Cricetulus griseus: one gene and its partner. The protein of the gene in region 2 interacts with the protein of the main gene of each other region in a pairwise test. Links are inferred from orthologs where the notes say so. Each region holds a gene or a part of one and is shown on either strand. Other genes may lie near its edges.

Region 1 (10,787 bases), on a different chromosome or scaffold from region 2:
TTCGAATTCTTTTTCAACCCAGACTGACTTAGGAAGTAGGGAGAGAAATCACACTCCTGTGTCAACATCAGTGTTCTTTGCCCAGAAGGCCCTGACTAGGACCTCTGGTGAATCCGCTAAGCACAGAAATCTCCCCCTCCTGGGATGGCACCCCACCCACCCTGGGCCATTTCAGTCCAGGGTAGAGTAGTGCTGACACCTAGGGGTGAATATAAAAATCAAACCACAGAGAAAGTCAAGCCAGGGCTGCTACTGCAGCAGGTGAAGGGCACTTTACTCTCAGGCACCTGGCTTCCCCCAGTCCCCAAGTCTGCTTCCCTCTGCCATAAAAGAAGGTTCCTCCAAATCTGAGACACAGGGGCATATGTAGTCTAACTTTAATAAAAGATGGCCTATGCTCTACTCTCCCTAGACTTCCTTTTGCCTGAGAGTGAATATGAGAAGGTGGAGACAGAGGATGTAAAACTCAGACATGATGTCCCCGTGAGCTCCACCTTCAGGGGGAAACACAGGACAGGGAAAGGAGGGGAATCCAAGAGCCCTGAGTGAGGCTGAAACTCTAGCTTACCAAACTCGCTCGCACAGAGATGTTCAATGATGGCCTCGGATTTCAACTCGTTGTCACATGGAGGACACACTGTTGTACCTAAAAAAGGGAAGCAAGCAGAAACAGAAACTGTGTAAGTCACAGTGATGAGGACCCCTGGACAAGAGAGCAGGTGGGGGCCAGGTGAGCCAGGGCTAAAGGTCTGGAATTCGTGAAAGGTATCCAAAGAACGGCAATGAAGGGATCTTGAACTCAGGATCACAGGCATAAACAGATGAATGTTTTCTTCAAATATTTTGGCCTAGATATGTCGAGTGTGACGATTATTTAATTGACTGCTATCTGCAGTCGGTAGAGGCAGTCCAGGCTGCTATGAGTACCTGAAAAAAAAGAAAGCTAGCTTATACACCAAAACCGATCTTCCCCTGGTTTGTTTCTAGTTCTTCCCCTCCCCTTTATCTACCACCCCTCCAATTCCATCCCCCTTCCTACTTGCAAACTCTGAACAAGACAGCCCATCAATTTGACCAGGTCTTGGGGACCAAGAGAGGAGTCATACTCAATCACTCAAGCCCAGGGCCCTGAAGTGCCATAGAGACACTCCAGAAAGCAGGCTGTGTGTAGAGTGGGGGGATGGGAGGGGCCAGCCAGACCCACCAAATGGAGGGCAGAGCTGACCGAGAAGGAAACCCTTTAGATGATCTTTCATGAAGCACTTTGAAGAGAAGTGGGGGGGGGGGAAGCCACTGAGAGGTGACTAGGCCCCTGTGGGAAGCGGCTTCACAGGCCTCCTTGGAAAGGTAGAGAGAAAGTGTTTACAGGAGAATTGAAGTAGCTTATCATCTCCCTAAAATTCCTCCTTCTCATCACCTATCAAACAACTTAACAGTTTATTTGTGACCTAGAAAACCACAAGTACACTAAACATAGTCTATTCCTGGCATCCTGGACACTGGAGGCCAAATCCTGACTGGAGTTGAAAGGAAGTCACCCGAAGACAGTAGTCAAGGTGCGGTTTGGTGTGCTGAGCATCTGTGCTCACTGGCTTTCATTTCCTGTCACCTGTGGCTCACCAACACCATCCCTTTTCCCACCCCCTTCTCCATGGCTTAGGCTATGAAATGGGTACCCTCTTGGGTGCAGCTACTCCCCAGCCCACTCCCTCTAGGGCAGGGAACACATCTCCAGCCCATATCCACCAGTTTTCTCTCCCACATATACCATACTCTGGCAGCTGCCTTTCAAATTTGGGGGGCAGAAGCTAGCAAAACTCTTCGGGTCAGATGTTGGAAATATGTTTGTTTCACTCCCAGAGCTTGAAATTGGGTTCTGAAAGTGATGTTTCTGAATGACAACATAAAACCTCTTACTCAGAAATTTCCATCATGGTGTTTGCTTCCATGTAAAGAAAGGTAGAAAAAGGAAAGGAAGTTATAGACAGGATCATGAGACCTATAATAGGAAAAAGAACTGTGTGTTTGGGTTTCCTAGCTGTTATTATGATTGCTTTTTTTTTTAAGTAGACATTATCACACTGCAAAATTCAAGGTATAAAATGTTGAACAAAGGAGTAGCAAGGCATCCAAACATAAAGACCAAATCTTATCGGTCTCCTTCATACACCTCCAATTCTACTGGCACTCTGAGGATCTGCACCCCAACAGGACAGATGTTTCAGCCTGCAGATTCCTCCTGGCCTTCAATCGCTCTCAGTGCTGCTGCTGGTGGGGAAGGTGCAGGGTGGGAGTGGAACACCGTTTATTTTCAACATGGCTTTCCCTCTTCTCAATTTCTGCAGCCAGGAGCTGAGCAGCTTTCTCCAGAGGGAGAAGAATGTGTAATGCAATATTAATCTCTGCCCCTCATGTGTCTTTGGGGGCCCTGCAAGCCTACCTCACAGGAGGAATCTACTGAGACTTCCACTGGACAGGTAAACCAAAACATAGCTGTAAAGTGTGAAGCAAACGAATAAGACTAAGAGATTTTGTACTTTGTTAATGTCTACAAGAAAGTAGAGGGGAAAGCCAACGCTGGAATCAGGATTAAGATTACTTGTAAAATCAATGTGCACTAGGAGAGGAGAGAGTGGGAGGGAGGTGAAGGGAAAGAGATGGGGGAAGGGAAGGCAGGGAGATCGATTTTCCTTGGGCAGCTAGCTCTCTAAGGAGAGAGGAGGAGGTACCATAAGGAGCCTCTGGGAGAAGTGGGGGCTCCCTGGCCTCTCCAGCCTGTGACTACACAGCCTGGCTGACCTAATACACAACATACCTAAACAACACAACTGAACGCAATGGGCTCGTTCACACAACTCAGTGAAACCCGGCAGGGAAGGAGAACGACAATTTCCTAAGCTAGTCTAATGTATGTCCAAGATCTAGAAGTCGGTCTCCTGGGATGGATGGCACAATTCCCTTTCCTGTCACAGAAGCCAAGGTAGTGCGAGCAGCCTGTTTGAGAGAGAGGAAATCAAAGTCTTCGGCTCATTTCTCATGATCAGGCTCTTCTTTAATAACAACGAATGCCCCAGTATTCCTAAAACTGTATACTAAGATGTAATGCTGTGTTGAAATTTTGAGGTTTCAGTTTTAAGATAACAGGGTGGATGAGGACCAGAGAGTAGGCACCTGTAGGTAACTTACTATCATCTCAAAGTCCCAGGTCTTGTTCCAGGGCTACCAGTCTAAGGTTATGTGTCTTAATCTTCACTTATTCACACACAACTTAACTCTCAGCTAGCAGCGGGACAGCCCTTCAGGGCAAAGTGTGTGTAAGGGGGTTGTGCATCACATGGGACACCCTCATAATGGCAGTCTGACATTCTGGAGAGACATTGATGCCTCTCACAAAAGTCAAAATCACTTCAGAGAAAACCAGCCACAGCCACACTCCTACCAGACAACACACACACACACACACACACACACACAGAGAGAGAGAGAGAGAGAGAGAGAGAGAGAGAGAGGGGGGGGGTCTTTATTTAGCAAAGAAGTGCTCTACCTAAGCACCAGGCAAGGATGAACCAAACACATGGATTCACACAAAAGCATCCAGAAATGGGTTAGGGTGGGTGTGCCCTTTGCCCTGACAGATTTGGAGGGACTGGTTTGGGGGACCCTCAGAAACAGTGCCACTCCCTTCTGGTCCTCTTTTCTTGCCCCCAAACTTCAGCCACTTTACACAAAGCTGTTTCCCACAGGTTTGCACTTTATGCCCACCAATAACCTCAGAAAAGGGCAATCAATCAGTAGCCATGGGGAATGGAAGGAATACAAGCAAAGCTGGCCACAAGCTCTCCTGGCAGGCAGGAGTTAGGAAGGAAACTGTGGTCTGCAGGGGGTGGGGTGGGGAGGCTCAATGGGGATAGAAGAAGTCTAGGGAAATGCTCAACCCCCAGAGAGCCGTGTCAAAAGACTGCACATACCAGCCCTGAGGACAGGGGTGCCCAGGGCTACCATTTACCTTACAGGCTGGGACCCATGCCAGACGAGGGCAATCACTTTGGACCTACCTTCCTCCCCAGAATGAATAGGAGCCGTTCAAACGTCCCTCACGTCTACCCCAATCCTCACTCTGTGGCAGCCAAATGAGGCACTAAACAAGAGGCACTTGGCAGTGCAAGCCTGTAATCCCAGAGCTGAGGAGGCTGAAACAGGAGGAATTTGTGTTCAAGACCAGCCTGGGCTGCACACCAAGAGATTAAGACCCTGCCTCAGAAAGCCAAGACACTCAACACTTTAAGATAAGCTAAAGTATCCTCTTCAGAAGTGGCCTTGGGGTACCCTCTCCTGTGATAAGGGCCACTGGACAAGAGTATCTGCTATTCCTGAGCCTCATCCCACAGCAATGAACCCATTCCCAAGGAACTGGGCCAGGGCTGCTGTAGGGCTTGCTGCTTTGGGTTCTGTGCATGTTTTTGTTTTTTGTATCCAGATTCTCTCTCTCTCTCTCTCCCTCCCTCCCTCCTCCTCCTCCCTCCCTCCCTCCCTCCCTCCCTCCCTCCTCCCTCTCTCTCTCTCTCTCTCTCTCTCTCTCTCTCTCTCTCTCTCTCTCTCTCTCTCACACACACACACACACACACACACACCTTTAAATACCGGGTTCCCAGAACAAATTCTACTCCCCCAGGGTTCAGAATTTGCAGCACCCAATTTGCAGTTCCTCACCCCCCAGGAGGAGATAAACAATGAGCTAATTACATTTTTATCTTTCTAATTACCCAAGGATTTGTGTGAATGGGAGACGCAGGGGGTATGGAAGGATGGTGGACACGAGATTTTTGCATCCCCTAGATTTGCTAAATTCAAGGCTGTAGCCTGAGTTTAGAGGCGAAGAAACAGAAGTGGCTCTTTCTAAACTTCATTTCCTCAGCCAGTTCTGCAACACGAATGGAAGATAAACTAAGGAGAGGGGGTGTTTTGTTGCTGCTTGTTTTGCTTTTAGAAAAAAAAAAAAAAGACTTTCAAACTTATGAAAACAAACACAGGTTTCCCTCAGTCTGAGGTTTTTTGCAGTTTGGATGAGTTGTTTTCCTAGGGAGCAGTCTCTGTTTCGGATGTTAAGAGCTTTGGGTGGACACCCTCATTTTCTTCAAAACCTAAGGCTTAGCTTTGTTACAGGTATGGAAAACGCCAGACTGGAGCCCAGGAAGGGCAGCTCCAGGTTCACCCAACTCCCCCCGCCGTCCCCCCCCCCCCCCCGCACCTCACCCCCAGGGCCGAGGCTCCCCAGCAATCTCGAGGTACCTGGGCCAGTAGAAGGGCCAAGTGACGCCCGGACCTCCTAAAAGCTTTCGGGATCGAGTCTGCACACCTTGCGGGCTGTGGTGCACAGCTCCCTGCTATCCCCGCTGCAGCAGGGGCTCGCGGGCGTGGGAAGGAACACCCTTACCTTGGGGCTTCGAGGCTTCAGTGGCATTGGGCGGGGTCATGGCAATGCAGACGTCTCCCTCGGGGAACTTGTCACACTTGAGCATCTCGGGCCAGTAGAAGCCGAAGAACTGCATGACCGGCTCGCACGAGTCGCGCACGGCCTCGCAGAGCCAGCGGCACGGGTAGATGGGCCGGTCCAAACAGACGGGCGCGAAGAGAGAGCAGAGGAAGACCTGGGTGCCCATGTGGCAGTTCTTGTTGAGCAGAGGCACCCAGCTGCTGGCCTGCTGCTTCACCTCTGCCATGGTCTCATGCTCCAGCAGGTTGGGCAGCACCATCTTCTTGTAGCCCACGTTGTGGCACAGCCTCAGGTCCACCGGGATGTCCACGCACTGCGGAGGCTTGGTGTAGAAGCGGCCGCTCTGGTACGAGCCGATGTCCGACTGGAAGCTCACGTAGTCGTACTCGCTGGCCGAACCCGCGGCCAGCAGCGCGGCGACCAACGCCAGCAGCACTCCGGAGGTGGCCCCGCCACGGCCCCGCGCGCTGCGCCCGCTGCCCATGCTGCTCGGCGACGTCGGGGCTGCCCGCGCTGCCTTCACTCGCGCGTCCCGCTGCAAACTTCCCGGAGCCTCCGGGGACAAAGGCGCAGTGGCCGGCCCCGTCCGGCTGGCGGCCGCGCGCTGCTCCCCGAGTCTGGAGCCGATGGGGCCCTCGGAAGCCGCAGGCCGCGGCGGGACTGGAGCAGGGCAGGGAGCGCGCGGGACGGATCGAGTGCCGTCCCGGCTCGTGGAGGCGCGGCGGGCTGCGGGCGGCTGCACCTACTTGCGACGCTGCAGCCCGAGTGCGCGGTGTGCGGGTGGCCGAGCCCTGGATCTCCCGCGCGCAGCCAATCAGCTCCGCGCTGCCGGGAGCCGCTCTCCACACCGCGTCAGTCAGCCGCGCATTTAACCAATCGCGGCGCTGGCCAGAGGGATCGGTTTACTAGAACTAGACACAGGTCAACACCCCTTAAAAAGCAAAACCAAAAACTAAGCAAATACTTCGAAGAAGGCAAATGCAGAGAAAAGAGAGTAGTTGGAAGTGTGGGGTGGATAAAGACGATGTTGGACGCTGTAATGAACGTGAATCAGTTTGTTTAAAAAAAATCTTCATAATGCTTGCAAATTGATGCGATTGTGAAGACTTTTTTTTAACACGTTTTCCTAATTCCAAGCAACAGCCCAACATAACAGAAATTCTCCGCTCCGCGGTTTATTCTTTGACGCTTATGTACAGAAGCAGGCTGCTTCTCAGCTACTCGGATGGACAAACTGAACTTAGGGGCGTCTTTTAAATTCCCTAATAAAAGCCTGGGCTTTTGCAAAGACTAAGGGAAGGTGCGTCTAAAATACAACACCTTTCCGGGTGACAGGAAGCAGAACGGGAAAGGGAGGACAATACTGCTGACATGTGTTAGTTTTGGAAGACAGTTTACATTTTTAAACAATATTTTAAGACCCTACACAAGTCCCAGTCAGCTGACAACATATCTACTTACAAACATACACAATGATATGTTTGTAGATTAGAAAGCCAAAGCAAAACAAAAAACAAAACAAAAACCACAGGAGCACTTCACCGGCATGGCTGGGTGGATACTAACTGTATCAGTCAGATATACATGCTAATTCAGAGGCAGTCTAGGTCACAACCTAAGGTATATCGGCCACCCCACCACAGGCAGAAGCCAAGCAGGCAGGAATAGCCTCCCCTGCCCTCACTAGTCACTTCCTGGGAATTACTTGAGTGCCTTAAAATCAGAGAGCTAGGGGTGTGATCAAGAATGGACAGGAGAAGGTACAAGCAGTTCTTGAAGTTCTCTGCTGTGTCTGTCCTTCAGGGTGACTGGAGGGGTAGCCAAGGAGGCAGTGTGGTGCCACACCAGGTGGCAAATGGGCTACCACTCTTAGTTGCAAGGCAGGACACAGCTGGAGTTGCTGCTGGCCCAGGCAGCTTGATTATAAAGCTCTGGGGACTCTTACTTGCAACTCTATAGACCTAATTTCTTGGTTCCAAGTAAAAGCCCTGGAGCTTGCAAAGATGCAGGGATTTTTTTTTTTTAAAGCAATCACACACACACATGCAGACGATGTGTGACTCCACTGCACAACCGGGAAGCAGCTGCAGGTGGTCACCATGTCTATCCTTCCCAGGCCCAAAGACAAACAGGCAGATTTGGGTTACAGGGAAAGGTCGGGCAGAGCAAGGCTGTGGATGACCAGGGGTTAATCAAGAAACGACCTGCAATGCTGTCCTGCCTAAGGAGCTAGGAAACCACATTCTTCACAGAGAATAGAGACAGGAGACCAGGACTGGGTCTCAATTCAACCAGCAGGGCTAAAACTGTTTGCTAGAGCACCCTTTTTCTCTCCTCAGGCTAGACCCTCTTTCCAGGCTAAAGTGTCTGTTTGCTCGCTCATTGGAAAGATTAGCATTAGAAGATAAAGAGCCTTTTCCCTCTGAATCAAGGTTGAGCCCACCCCTCACTTACTTGTGTACAATTCCCCCAAATAGCTGGACTTGGGTCTACCCTCAGGTACAATGCTGGGAATGAGTGCAGGTGAGTTCACAAATCCATTCTCAGGAAGAAGTAGTCTACATCCAGTCAGCCTTGTTGACTTAGATGCCCCAGTGTTCACCTCTGTGCTTTGCCCTCTGGCATTCTGCCATGGATACAACTGTCAGTTCAGATGAGGAATGTCAGTAGTTGTGTATTTCTGAATCCTTCTAAGGTCCATATGGGAAGGAAGACAGAGTCTTGATGTCCATCCCACTTGAGATGAAAAATGTCCCTGTAGGCCACCCTGCAGGACAGTGTCAGCCAAGGCAGGCTACACATACTTTCTAGTTTTCGTATCACTAGACTGTAGGCACATTTTTCATCGGGACTGTCAGCTCCCCAATAATGACACAGAAACTTATTAATTATGAAAGCTTGGCCGATAGCTTAGGCTTGTTTCTAACTAGCTCTCATAACTTAAATTAACCCATTTCCTTTTAATCTACTTCTTTTATGTGGCTCGGTTGCCTTTACTTTGTAATGCCGGTGCTGCTTCCCTGTGTCCTTGTGTCTCCCCCTCCCAGTGTCCTCTGTGCCTGGAAATCCTGCCTAGCTATTGGCTGTTCAGCTTTTTATTAAACCAATCAGAGTGAGATATCTTTACACAGCATAATCAAATATCTCACGACACTAGATCACATGCTTTAAAATCTAATCTCCCTTTCATATACAAGAGAAAGTTCTAGAACAAGGGATGTTTAAAATGCTATTATCCTATCACAGCTCTCAGAAACCTTGGTTTCTGAGTTTGACAACTATAAATCAGGAGAAGCCCATGGCTTCCTCCTGCCCTAATAGTTTAGGTAAGCAGGGACAGCATGAAGCTTTACCCTTGCCTTTTTTTCACACAACTAGGTGCCTCTTCATGAAAACTGGGGAGCACTTTCTCTATTGCTTCACATCAGTTTAAGGGGGCATTTACCCATCTCAAAGCTGACAGGAAATCAGGGTCACTGAGGGGCTCCCAGTACCTAGCTGGTGGCTTCTTTCCACACAGAGAGCTTAAAATCGGGAGAGGAAGAACCTGCCTAGGCTGTGGCTCCTCTTCTGTTCCCTTAGCATTTCACCAGTGATTTGTAGGCCACTTCAGGAATAAGATGAGCAGACACTCACACTCTCAGATTAGCAGAGCTGCCAGGAACAGAAGGGTTACTTCCTGCCTACAGCCAGGTAGTGGTGGCTCTAGCATAAGGCAGAAAGGAGTTGGGAACCATGGTTTGTGGCTTCGGTTATGCCCCCAACACGTTTCCAGCTCCCAGGGTATGACCTGCTTCCATCTCTCTGGGTTTAACCCACTTGCCTGTGAGGAGAGCTAAGCATGCTTACTCGGCTACTTGTGACCTGATCTGCTACTTATGAAATACAGAGTGTGGCCTCTTGGCCTGGCCTAGTGGCACATGCTTTAACACCAGCACTTGGAAGGCAAAGATAGGAAGATCTCTGTGAGTTTGAGGCCAGCCAGGATGACACAGGGAAACACTGTCAAAAAATATTTTTAATTGAATTATCAGTATCCAGGACCATAAGAGGTACAGATTTGCAGTCAAGTATGAATGCCTTCACACAACACTCAATGTGAGACATTACAAAGTGTGTTGATGTTCTTACTTGGACAGGCTGCTTCTCCAGTCTACCTTGGAGTGATTAACTTTGAATTTCCTGACTCCTTTACCAATTGGCCTGCCCATCGATGGGTTTAGGAGTCTGGAATTCATCTTCAAACATCAGAGTCAGGCCTGGTTCTTTAAACCTACGACAAGGCGAGAATCCATGATGGAGAGGTCCAAAGCCCTAAAAGGGAAACTACAACTGTTATTTTGCTAAATGATCACAATGCTAAATTATCTCCCAAATACTTGTGTTTATGGCCATAACTTCCTGCTGCTCTCGATTTCATCAGAGATGCTTCTTATGCAGCAGGTGAGAGCTAGAGCAGACTCACAACTGGTCAAAACAAGTACATGACTATGCAGTGCAGCCCTGAGTAGGACAGTTGTATTACTTCCTCCAAGGCTTAGGCGGCATCTCAGAAGAGGGTACAGAAAGAATATAAGAGCCAAAGGATGGAGAGACGTACACCAAAAGGGACACCTTGTGGACATGGCATACCCAGTGCACTCATGAACTGACTGCGGCTGCACAAGGCTGAGCCCATCAACTTTTCCTCACAGATGGTGGAAGGGGCCTTTGCGGTCCTACTCCTCCCAGGGGTCTACTGGCGGCTAATGGTTGCTGAAGTAGAGGTATAATTTCCTTCAGTGTTGTAGCCACTTGTAAATAACTTCCTATAATGTGCATGCGAGCAGTTCTAATGGAATGCCATTGAGTGGATCACACACAAACAAAGACAACCAAGTAGAAAGGGGATTTACTGCAAAGAAGGATTTCAGGGGGCATGAGAGGGGGATGAGAGAGGGGAAAGTGGTGTCAGGGCCAAACGAAATCCCATTGTATACATCCCTTGGCAAGGTTCTTAGCTGGTGTAGCTGGGCATCTCAGCTGCCAACACCAGGCCTTCTTGTTTCTTTAGGACACAGCCACCCTGATGATGCAGTCCACTAGAAGTTTCTTCCTTCCCTGGAGGGGAACTTTACTCCCTGTAATACATCTCATGGGGCTGCATAGCGCTGGTTTCTATCTACACCCCATTGTGGTCCTGGGAAGACAGAATGAGCCATTTATTCCCTGGAGGGAGAGGCTGTGGACACTGTCCCTGCCTCGATGTTCAGAGGTGTGCTTCCCCACTCTCCAGAGAGTCTTTGTCAAGTTG
Region 2 (10,525 bases):
CTCTATGAGTTCAAGGCTAGCCTGGTCTACACAGTCACTTCCAGGACAGGCTCCATAGCCACTGAGACACTGTCCCAAAACGAAGCCAAAACAAAACAAAAACCTGTTACTTTCATAGTATTTTAAAAATTGTTAGAAAAAGATTGAGGCCAGCCTGGTCTACAGAGAGAGTTCCACACAGCCAGGGCTATTAATACAGAGAAACCCTGTATCAAAAAACAAAACAAAAAGGATCTCAAACCAAATAAACTTAGTAAATGTTTGCAACACTGTACACTTTCTCATGAACAACAAGTTATTTTCTACAAAACATACAAGCTATAGAAACTTCCCAAGAACCCTCTTTTCCTCCCAACTACCAAAGGGAAGTACCTCTTCCCACCTCACTGTTGCACACCACCCCTGCCAGCTGGCTGCTGCCACCATGTACACTTTAACTCTGGCTTCCTGAATGTGGGCAATTGGGATATGCCTAAAAAAGCTCTTAGCACTTGAGAGGCAGAGGCAGGCAGACAGATCTCAGTGAGTTTGAGGCCAGTCTGGTCTCCGAAGTGAGTTCCAGTACAGTCAGAGCTGTTACCCAGAGAAACCCTGAAGAAGAAAGAAGCAGCAGCAGCAGCAGCTCTAGCCAAAAATTTCAAGGATGCCTCTTGTTTTCTATGCCAAACACAAAGCAACACACTGAAAACAGCGTATTTAGCCTAAACCAGGTATTGGGCCATCACCTCTGCAAAGTCATCCTTCAGGTGGGAGGCAGGAGGGTCAAAGAGTCCAAGGTCATTCTCAACTACAAAGGGAGTGGAAAGGCAGCATTAGAATATGTCTTGAAAGAAAAAGGTTGAACCTATCCACAGCTGAACATAATTGGGCATCAGTACCTTGCCCATCTGATCCTATGAATTTCTCTTTAGGGCTCTTGGGTAAGCCCTAAAATTACTCACACCCTTCAAAAATGGAGGGGGAAACATCCACAGAACCTATGAAGGCATATCTTGCCTCCACCCTCCTGACACACAGTTATGACCTCAAGATGAAGACAAAAATTCCTTCCAAGCCAGGCGTTGGTGGCGCACGCCTTTAATCCCAGCCCTCAGGAGGCAAAGGCAGGCGGATCTCTGTGAGTTCAAGGCCAGCCTGGTCTCCAGAGCGAGTGCCAGGATAGGCTCCAAAGCTACACAGAGAAACCCTGTCTCGAAAAACCAAGAGAAAAAAAAAAAAGGATCTGCTTTCTTTAAGGGGCCTCTGTGGGGTTTCTGTAGCTCCAAGGCAGTCCCCACCTGGGCCTTTCTCCCTCATATTTTTAGACTGAGAAGTATACCAGCAGCCCCAGCATTAATCAATTAAAGCCTAGGATTGCCCTGCTACCCCACGTCCCCCAAGCAAAGGGGCAGTCAGACTCTGGGAGTCATCCTTGCCAAAGTGGGTTTTTAAAAAAGGCCCCAAAGTACCTGCAGATCATGAGGGAAGGGAGGGAGTCCTGCTCTGCCTTCCAGGTGAGGGATGGGGGGGACACACCTGTCCATGCTGGGAAGCACAGGAAGTCCCTGTTAGAATTATCTTGCTGTGGACTCTGCTCAGTTTTAAGATCTGCTTCAATACAGCCAAGCCCATGGTCCTCACTTATCTTTCCTATAGGACCTTAACTACAGGCTTCTGAACCTACAGAACAGGAGCACTGAATAGCCACACACAGATTTGGAGACTTTTAGGACTTCAGACTGTCTTCAGAAAGATGAGAATTGGCAAGCACTCTGTATTAACGCAGCCACTTCTCCTGACCTTCCTTTACAAAAACATACTTTTTAAAAAATGGGTTTTTCATGACAGGGTTTCTCTGTGTAACAGTCTTGGCTGTCCTGGAACTCACTGTGGAGACCAGGCTGGCCTCTAACTCACGGTCTGCCTCTGCCTCCCAAGTGCTGGGATTAAAGGTGTGCACCACCATGGCCATGGCCTGGCTAAGAAACACACTTCTTGCCCACTCAAGATGTGAAGCAATTACAAACACTTAGTACTCAAGAAAAATGCTAGAGGTTTCACGAAGAAAGTGCCCCAATTCCACGCACTCCCCCTTTAACCAATACAACAGAGCAGGAGGCCAGGCCAAACCCAGCTAGCCTATTTCCTATTTAAATCTGTTCTGCTTGAACATAGAGCTGGCAACGTGCTAACACCAGAATGTGCTATAGAGTAACAGACCTTCCATCAGAGTAGCTGACCACACAGGGACGGGGCTCAGGAGAAAGCTACTGCAGTTAGAGTGCTGCAAAGCACTAGTGTTTACCATCCAACCCCAATTTCCCATTATTTGTTTTGTCAGACAAGGTCTCTGTGGTCCAAGCTAGCCTTGACCTCCTGATTCCACCTAAGTGCCTGGGACTACAGGTTTATACCATGTCACTATTTAGCCTTGGGTGGCCTGGATGGAATTTATTCTGTAAACCAGGCTGGATTTGAAAGTGTTCCACCTGCTTCTGCTTCCCAGTACTGAGATTAAAAATGTGTCACCATGTCCAGGTTAAAATTTATCTTTAATCATCTGTCTGTACAAGTTACGACATGTATGTATGTATGACATGTATGTATCGGGGGGCCAGGTGTCTCATCTTCTAGAGCTGGAATAGCAGGCACTGAGCTGCCCCATGTGCTGGTAATTGAGCTTGGATCCTCTGGAAGAATAACATGCTCTTAACCATCTCTCCAGCCCTTGATTTTTTGAGACAGGGTCTCACTATGGATAGCTGGCTGGCATGGAATTTGGTGTGTAGACCAGGTTGGCCTCCCAGCTCACCGCTCTGGGATGAAGGAGTGTGCCACATGGCCACACCTCATTATTAAAGACCCTGTCCCATCTCGTTCATACAGCCCTCGCTTGCAAAGCCCTTTCTCAGCTCGTTCATAGCTCTTAAGTTTGGGAGTTCTTGAGGAAGGGTTCCAACTGTGAGACAGATATTGCTATCCAACACAGCCTGGCCTAGAATGTCTGCATTTCCGTGTCCCAGGCTCCAGAGTGTTGGGGCAGTAAGGTGCCCAACTACAAAAGAATCAATTATCAATTGGAAAAAATGCCTCATCAAGTGACAAATCTTATCTCCACCTTTTGGAATTAAACCCTGAATTTCATTTTACTATGTAGAGGTGTGCAAGTACACACTTGCTGGGAGCGTTTGGGGAGGGAGGGAAGCAGGCGAGAGTCTGGTTCTCCTCTCAAGTTCTTGTGGGTCCTGAGGATCAAATCAGGTCTTCGTGGTTAAGGGCAGAGCCACTAATTATCAGCTGAGCCATCTCTAGAGTCTATGAATTACTTAAATCTCACTCCCAGTGTTCAGAGATGACGGCCCTAAAGATGGTACACAAAGTAGAGAGAGCACAACACCACATTCTCTAATGGAGAAGCACACACATCCTCAACAGAAGGCTGTGGTTTTGTTAAGTTCACATACAGAAATAAGAAGAAACATATACTGTGCAACTAGCTTATTCTCAAAGCATTTAAATATAGTATCCTACTCTATTAAGTTCAAAAGAAAATAAAAAACCAGCCTGGACATGGTGGTAAAGTCTCCAATTCCAACACTTATAGGAGGCAGAGGCAGGCAGATCTCTGTAAATCTCAGGTTAGCCTTTGCTTGGTAGTGACACTCAGTCTCAAAATTTAAAAAGTAACATTCAAGAAACTATAGGGGCCCATCAATGGTGGCACACACCTTTAATCCCAGAGCTGAGTTCAAGGCCAGCCTGATCTATGTAGAAAAAAGCTGTCTTCAAACCTGTTCCCCCCATAAAAAAAAAAGAAAAAAGAAGGGGGGGCTGAGGTGATGGTTCAGCAGCCAAGAGCACTTGCTGCTCTTGGGGATAACCCTGGCTACGCTCCCAGCACAGATAGTGGCTCACAACCATCTAACTCCAGCCCCAGAGGACCCAATGCCCCTTTCTAACCTCCTTGGTTATAGGCATGCATGTGGTAAACACATACATATGAAGACAAAGCTTAAAACATAAAATCTAAAAACAAAAATTTTTAAAGGGGGAGAAAGGAAAGCTGATGAAGCAAGCCTACACAAAGATAAGAACAAACTACACACACCCAATTGTCCTCTAATCCCGGGTGCTGTGGCCTGGGTGCACTCACACACATCCCATGTGAAAAATAAATTTAAAAACAAAAGATGAGCCAAGTTTACTGCTAAAACTTTTTCAGCATAGTGTTAAACATAAAAAAAAAAAAAAAAAAAAAACACAACGAAATCTGAGCTGGGGATGCAGCCCAGGTGATGGAATGCTTACTCAGCGTGTAGGAAGAAGCCTTGGGTTCAATCCTCAGGACTTCATAACCCAGGCTTGGTGGCTTATAACTTCTAGTACTTGGGAGGAGGCACAAGGATCAGGAGTTCAAGGCCAGTTCTGGCTCTGTGGGACTTTATCTAGGGGAAATGATGATAAAAGCCTTTAATCCCCAGCACTCAGGAAGGGGAGGCAGAGGGATCTGAGAGTTTGAGGCTAGCCTGATCTACACACATCGAGCTCCAGGACAGCCAGGACTGCAGAGACCCTGTCTCAACAAAGCCAAAAACAAAAAAGACCCGATCTAAACAAAGCAATAAAATAAAGTATTAGGGGAGAAAATGCACAGATTAAAAAGACACTTTTTACTTTTCTTTCAATGACTCTGCAGCTGTTCACCACCACCACTCACGGCATGTTTCTTACACGCCAACAGTATTTTAGGCAAAAGCAGCAAAAGCCAGCTAGTTAATAACATTGTCAAGAACCCAATCAGCATTAGGTCGGGAATTGTGGGGAGTCCCTATGTCATATTAATCTCTCACCAACTAGGAACCCACTGCAGCGCCCCCCACCCACCCCGTCATAAGTCGGACAAAAGAAAAGATTTTTAACCTTCCCTTAGCCACTAGGCACGCATGCCCTGCGCTCCCACAGGGTGAACAGTGGAAGAGGGCAGGCAGGTCGTGTCTAGACCTTGGCTACCAGGGGTTTGAAGCGGGACTCGCCCTTGGTCAGGCGAGGTCTTTTAAGTTTCTTCCAAGATAACAGCACCTACCTGGCAGGGCGCTCGCTGAATGCAGCAGCGCGCCCCTCTCCTCGGGACAACAATCTGATGAGCAGAGAGCCACAGACACTGTCACCCCGGTCGCGGCTCGGCCCGTGTGCGGATGCACGTTCAAGGGGAAAGAGCGCCGGAGGGAGGATGGCTTTTTTTTGGGGGGGGGGGATGCAAGGGACGGGGCTCTCGTCGCCCCGGGACGTCGCCCCGCCAAGTCACACTGGGTCCTTGGACTCCAGATTTATCACAATGTGAGAGCAAGGGCAGGAGAGGCAGTAATAAAAACAAGGGGTCTGTCCCTAGACCCGGAGGCGCTGTGTGCGCGCCCCAGATCCAAGCGGCTTCCGAGGACCGGTCCCCACCGGGCCTGGTCCCACCGGCCCCGCCCGCCCGCCCGCCCGCGCGCCGCTCACCTTCCAGCAGCCGTTGGATGATGCTGTCGATGTTGAGTTTATCGATATCCGCCATCGCCGTCCTGCCGCCGACCCTCCCGCAGCGGCGCCGCCGCCGGCTCGCGCCCGGGCCTCACACGTCCTCCTTCCTCACGCCACGAGCCCCACGAGCGGTGGTGGCGGCGGCGGTGGCAGCAGCAGCCGCGGCGGGTCCCCCCCCCAGCCGCCCCGCTCCCGGCTTCCTCCTCCTCTCGCCACTGGAACCACGAGAAGAACAAAATGGCCGCCGACTCGTCAGGCCAGCCTCGGGCGGCGCACGGATGCGCGCGCGGGGAGTGCAGCGGCGGCCGGGACTTCAGGCCCATAGGGCGCGGGAGGGCGGGGCCGCTGCGGGAGGGGGCGGCCTTCGCGCTTCAGGGGCGGGGCCTGGCAGAGACGGTGAGACACCCATCCGCGCGCGGGATCCTTCCGCCAAACGGGCGGGGGGTGGGGGTGGGGGACGGGAGTGGAGGGTGGGGCGGGGAATAGACCCCCACCCCCACCCTCCACCCCCCCGCCCCCACCCCCACCCCCACCCCACCCCCCGCGGGAGAGTGAAGTTGCAAAGTTGGCGCGCGCGCGAGTTAAAGACGGGTATTGTCCGGCGGCTGCTCGTTGCTAGAGTTAAGATCTCCTCCCGGTGCTGCTGATTTGGGGCAGATGTCTGCAGACTCGGCGGGGTGGGAGCTCACCAGGGAGTCAGTCACCCACCCCTCGGAACCAATCTGGGTTGGAGATGTCCATGGAGGATCTTTAGGAGAAGGAAGTTGGAGGGTCGAGGATTCAAATATGCCGGCTCATATTGGTGAGCAAGAAGAGCTGTATGTATGACTCTGTGGTATGAACGCTTGTCTAGTATGTGTGAGACCCTGGGTTCAATCCCCAGCACTGCCAAGATTTCGTAATACTGCAATAAAGTATCTAAGATCCAGTATTTGAAAAAAAGAAAGCCTCCCCCAGATAAAAGAAACGTTAGTCCATTGTGAGTAGTGCATAATTCAGTAACTGTGTACCTCTTGCGTGCACTTCTGCAGTTTTACATTTTAGGGAGAGGTTGGGAGACTTTTGTAAGGTGTCACCTATCTTTAGATTATCTTTCTTGAACTCAGAAAGTTATATAATAACCGTGATGTTCTCCCCTGGATTTAGCCTGAGCTGGATTGAATGAGCGCACGGCAGCAGATAAGATGGGAATTTGCGGAGGAAAGCGAGTTAGAGGCTGCTGTGCGCCCCGGGCTTCAGCACATTCTACTGCTGCTTGCCTCTGGTTTCATCGCCTCCCCGAGGGCACCCTTCTCCAGGGAGCCCCCAACTGTGCTGCCTCTCAGGCTAACTGGATCTGAAAATGCACACCCACCTGACCCATTTCTCTCTCCAAGCAGCCCTTCACAGTTTACAAAAATCCTCTTCCCCACCCCCCACTCCAAAAGCTCATGATTCTCAAAGCAAAAGGGATGCACGGATTCCCTTCCGTGTGTTCCTAGCAAGGTGGCTTCCCCATCTGGAGATTCATTTTCACCAGGCCACAGCAGCATGGCATGGGGTGCACCCTTGCAGATCTCTGGCCTCCTTTCTGCTGCTGGCGCCAACGGTGGAGCTTCTGGAGTCATCCCAGCTCCCCTCAACTGCCTGCACCATTTTACTCAGTCACCAACTTACTCTCCCAAGCTATGTTTTTGCCTACCAGTCCCACAAGTGTCATTTGTCACTCCAAGGCACCTGGCTCAGTAGACATCTTGACGTCTGGGGCCTATGCCAAGCCCTGCTGTGAATATCTTGTTTGGCTCTCAAGGAGTTTCTGGGACTTGGGCTCCTCTGGGGCAGAGTGTATCTTCCCAATGACACTTTGGGGACAGGGATATAAGACGGTTCCCTAAGGAGACAAATATTTACAGAGTGCCTACTCTGTTCCTGAGTTTTTTCTAGGCGTGGAGCAGGGTGAACAAAACAGAGGAAGCCTTTCTTTCTGAGGAAATTCATATAGAGACACTGCACTCTCATTTGTATGAGCCAAAAATTGTCTCGTTGTGCGAGCCAGCTAAATGGCTCAGTGGGTAAAGGTGATTGCCACCAAGCCTGCCAGCCCCAATACCCTAATGAAGAGAGGTTGTCCTCTGACCACCAAGCAGACATATATACAAAATAAATAAAATGTAATAAAATATTTTAATAAAAAAATTACCTCCAGGCTGGGCATGGTTGTATATGCCTTTAATCCCAGCACCGGGAGGCAAAGGTAGGCATATCTTTGTGAGTTTGAGGCCAGCTGCAGGCTAGGCAAGGCTCCAGAACAAAATCTTGTGTCAAACAAAGCAGAATCACCTCGTTGAATCCCCAATACAATCCCAGAGATTATATATCCCCATCATTCCCATTTTACAGATAAAGCTAGGCATAGAAAGGCTAGAAGGTTTGTTGAAGGTCACACAGCTGGTAAATTCCAGGGATAGCCTGAATCCACAGTCTTTTGTTTAATTAAATCCCTAAATGGAGCCTCAGGAGCCCAACAAACTGTGGCACACACTGTGTGCATTACTATGGGGAAACCAATGGAATACTCTAAATTTTATGCCCACACTGTCATAATTCTCTAGATGCCAAGCAGTAGGTGTGTAGGTCACTCAATCCATGCTCGGATAAAGGAAAATAACAGTGAGCCAGTACAGGGGACAATTTTTTGTCTATCAAGCAACCTCAAGGGACAGTTCCCCTCCAGAGTCCATAACCATGCCAGCATCAGAGAATTGGCTCTCTTGAGAGTGGTGGAACCCATAGCTGTTAGAGAATGACCTTCAGCTACTCCTCCTCCTGCCTCCACCTCCAGAATGTTGAAATTCTAGGTATGGCTGCCAAACCTGCTCTATTCCATACTAGAAAGAGCCCATGCCAGGAGACCACTCTACCAATACCGCCACATCACAGTCCCTATAGGAAGTCTGAACATACAGATTTTTGTTTTGTTGTGTTTTGTTTTCTCTGTGTAACAGCCTTAGCTCTCCTGGAACTCACTCTGTAGACCAGGCTGGCCTGGAACTCACAGAGATCCACCTGCCTCTGCCTCCCAAGTGTTGGGATTAAAGGCGTGTCCCTGAGAACATACAGATTTTTTAAATCTATATTTAAATCAATAGATCTGTCTGGTCTACAGAGTGAGTTCCAAGACAGCCAGAGCTGTTGCACAAAGAAAACCCTCTTGAAACAATAAACAAAGTTGGAGACGGCTCAGCGGTTAAGAGCACTGGCTGCCCTTCCAGAGGTCTCAGGTTCAATTCCCAGCACCCACATGGCAGCTCACAAATTGTAACTCCAGTTCCAAGGGATCTGATGCCCTCACACAGACATGACTTCAGGCAAAACCACAATGTACATAAAATTAAATTGTTAAAAGGGAGTTGCTGGAGAGATGGGTCATTGGTTAAGAGCACAGGACTGCTTCCTTCCTGTGACTCTGCTTCCTGGCCACCATGCCGCCATGAGCAGGCTAAGGACCAACAAGGAAGATCCTGATAAGGAAGTGCAAAGTGGTGTGGCCTCCTAAGGAAGGATACTCTGATATCATCTGCTTGCCTCTAGCTCCCTCACTGGATCCTGAAGAGTGGCATGGACTCATAAACTAAGGAATCTCCCCCTCTCCCAGGAGAACATCCAGGCCCTTCCTGATAAGGCCACACCAAACTCCATTGGTAATTACAAATTTGAGACTGCAGGGTAACAAACCTGTGAACGGAATCTTTCACCCTAGAAGCTCCTCTTCCCATACCCACCCCCACCCCCCATGCACAAGACCCATTCCCCTAAGAGATCGCTGCCCTTGTTCACATTGAAGGTCGTTTTCTTATTTTGTTTTATTCCCTGCCTCCATCGGACCGATGTAACAGGGCCCTCGAGGCTCTCTGTCTTGTTACCATCCCTCAGGCTGTGGGATCTGACCCGCTTTGACTGGGAACTGCTCTACCCCTGAGCTCCACCTCCCACCCCATTTCACTGATTTACTGAAAAGCCACAGTCTCACAAAGTTGCCAGGCTGACCTTGAATTTGTAGTCTTCTGACCTCATCGTCCATAGCAGTTGGAATGACAGACCTACCCCACCTGATCAGACCTGATTGCTAAAATATCTTCACCAATGGCAAAGAAACCCTGTCCCATTACCAGTCACCTCCCATCTTCTACTCTATCTCCTGGTAACTTCCAATCTGTTTCCTTTCTGTTTTGGTCTATTCTGGACATTGAATTTCATATGCTAGGTGGCTGTTCCTATCTTGCTACTAAGCAGAAACCTCGACATGCACCAAAGCTATGTCCATTTGTGTGACATCCCTTCATTTGCTAGTTCACATCCTTTTTTAGAAGCATAGGAACCCACAGTCAGGAATTTTTTTTTTAAGATTTATTTTTATTTTATGTGCATGCACTTTGGCCTGCATGGAGGTCAGAAGAGGGAATTGGGTCCTCTAGAACTGGTGTGATAGATGGTTATGAGCCACCATGTGGGTGCTGGGAATCAAACCTAGGTCCTCTGGAAAAGCAGCAAGTGCTCTTAACCACTGGGCCATCTCTACAGCCAGGAATGTTAATTGGCTGCCTCGGGTCCCAGCAGGCATGTGTTCCTTTTCCTTCCTATTTTAAATACTTATTTAATTAACTAGTTATCTATCCTTGTGCTCATGCTTGCCACAGCACATTGCAGAGGTCTGGGGACAACTTTTTGGTGGTGGTTTGTTCCAGGTCTCTCTTTGTGGGTCCCAGGAACTGAACTCATAACTGCCAGGCTTGCAAAGTAAGGGCTTCCCTTCCTCCCTCCTTTCTTCCCCTTTTTCCTTTTGAGACAAGACTTCACTATATAGCCCTGGCTGTCCTGGAACTCGATCTGTAGGCCAGGCTGGTCTTGAACCCACAGAGATCCACCTGCCTGTCTCAGTGGTACGTGCCACCACTCCCAGTTGAATGTGCTTGCCTAGGATGGATGGAAGGTGTCTCCCTCAGTCTGTTAGCAGACATTTTGTCCTTTCCCTTTTGAGGACTGGCTG

Evidence for each region.
Region 1: the proteins of Ppp1cc (region 2) and Sfrp1 interact in a two-hybrid assay, tested with the Homo sapiens proteins (2 studies listed by BioGRID). The link is inferred for Cricetulus griseus from reciprocal best matches to the Homo sapiens genes PPP1CC and SFRP1.

The regions. Positions count from the first base shown.
Region 1 is NW_023276807.1:60,333,735-60,344,521, forward strand, and holds the start of Sfrp1 (secreted frizzled-related protein 1), read right to left. Parts: upstream 5,979-10,787; coding exon 5,435-5,978; intron 647-5,434; coding exon 569-646; intron 1-568. UniProt on the Homo sapiens protein: Soluble frizzled-related proteins (sFRPS) function as modulators of Wnt signaling through direct interaction with Wnts. They have a role in regulating cell growth and differentiation in specific cell types. SFRP1 decreases intracellular beta-catenin levels.
Region 2 is NC_048597.1:102,004,577-102,015,101, reverse strand, and holds the start of Ppp1cc (serine/threonine-protein phosphatase PP1-gamma catalytic subunit), read right to left. Parts: upstream 5,756-10,525; 5' UTR 5,534-5,755; coding exon 5,479-5,533; intron 1-5,478. UniProt on the Homo sapiens protein: Protein phosphatase that associates with over 200 regulatory proteins to form highly specific holoenzymes which dephosphorylate hundreds of biological targets.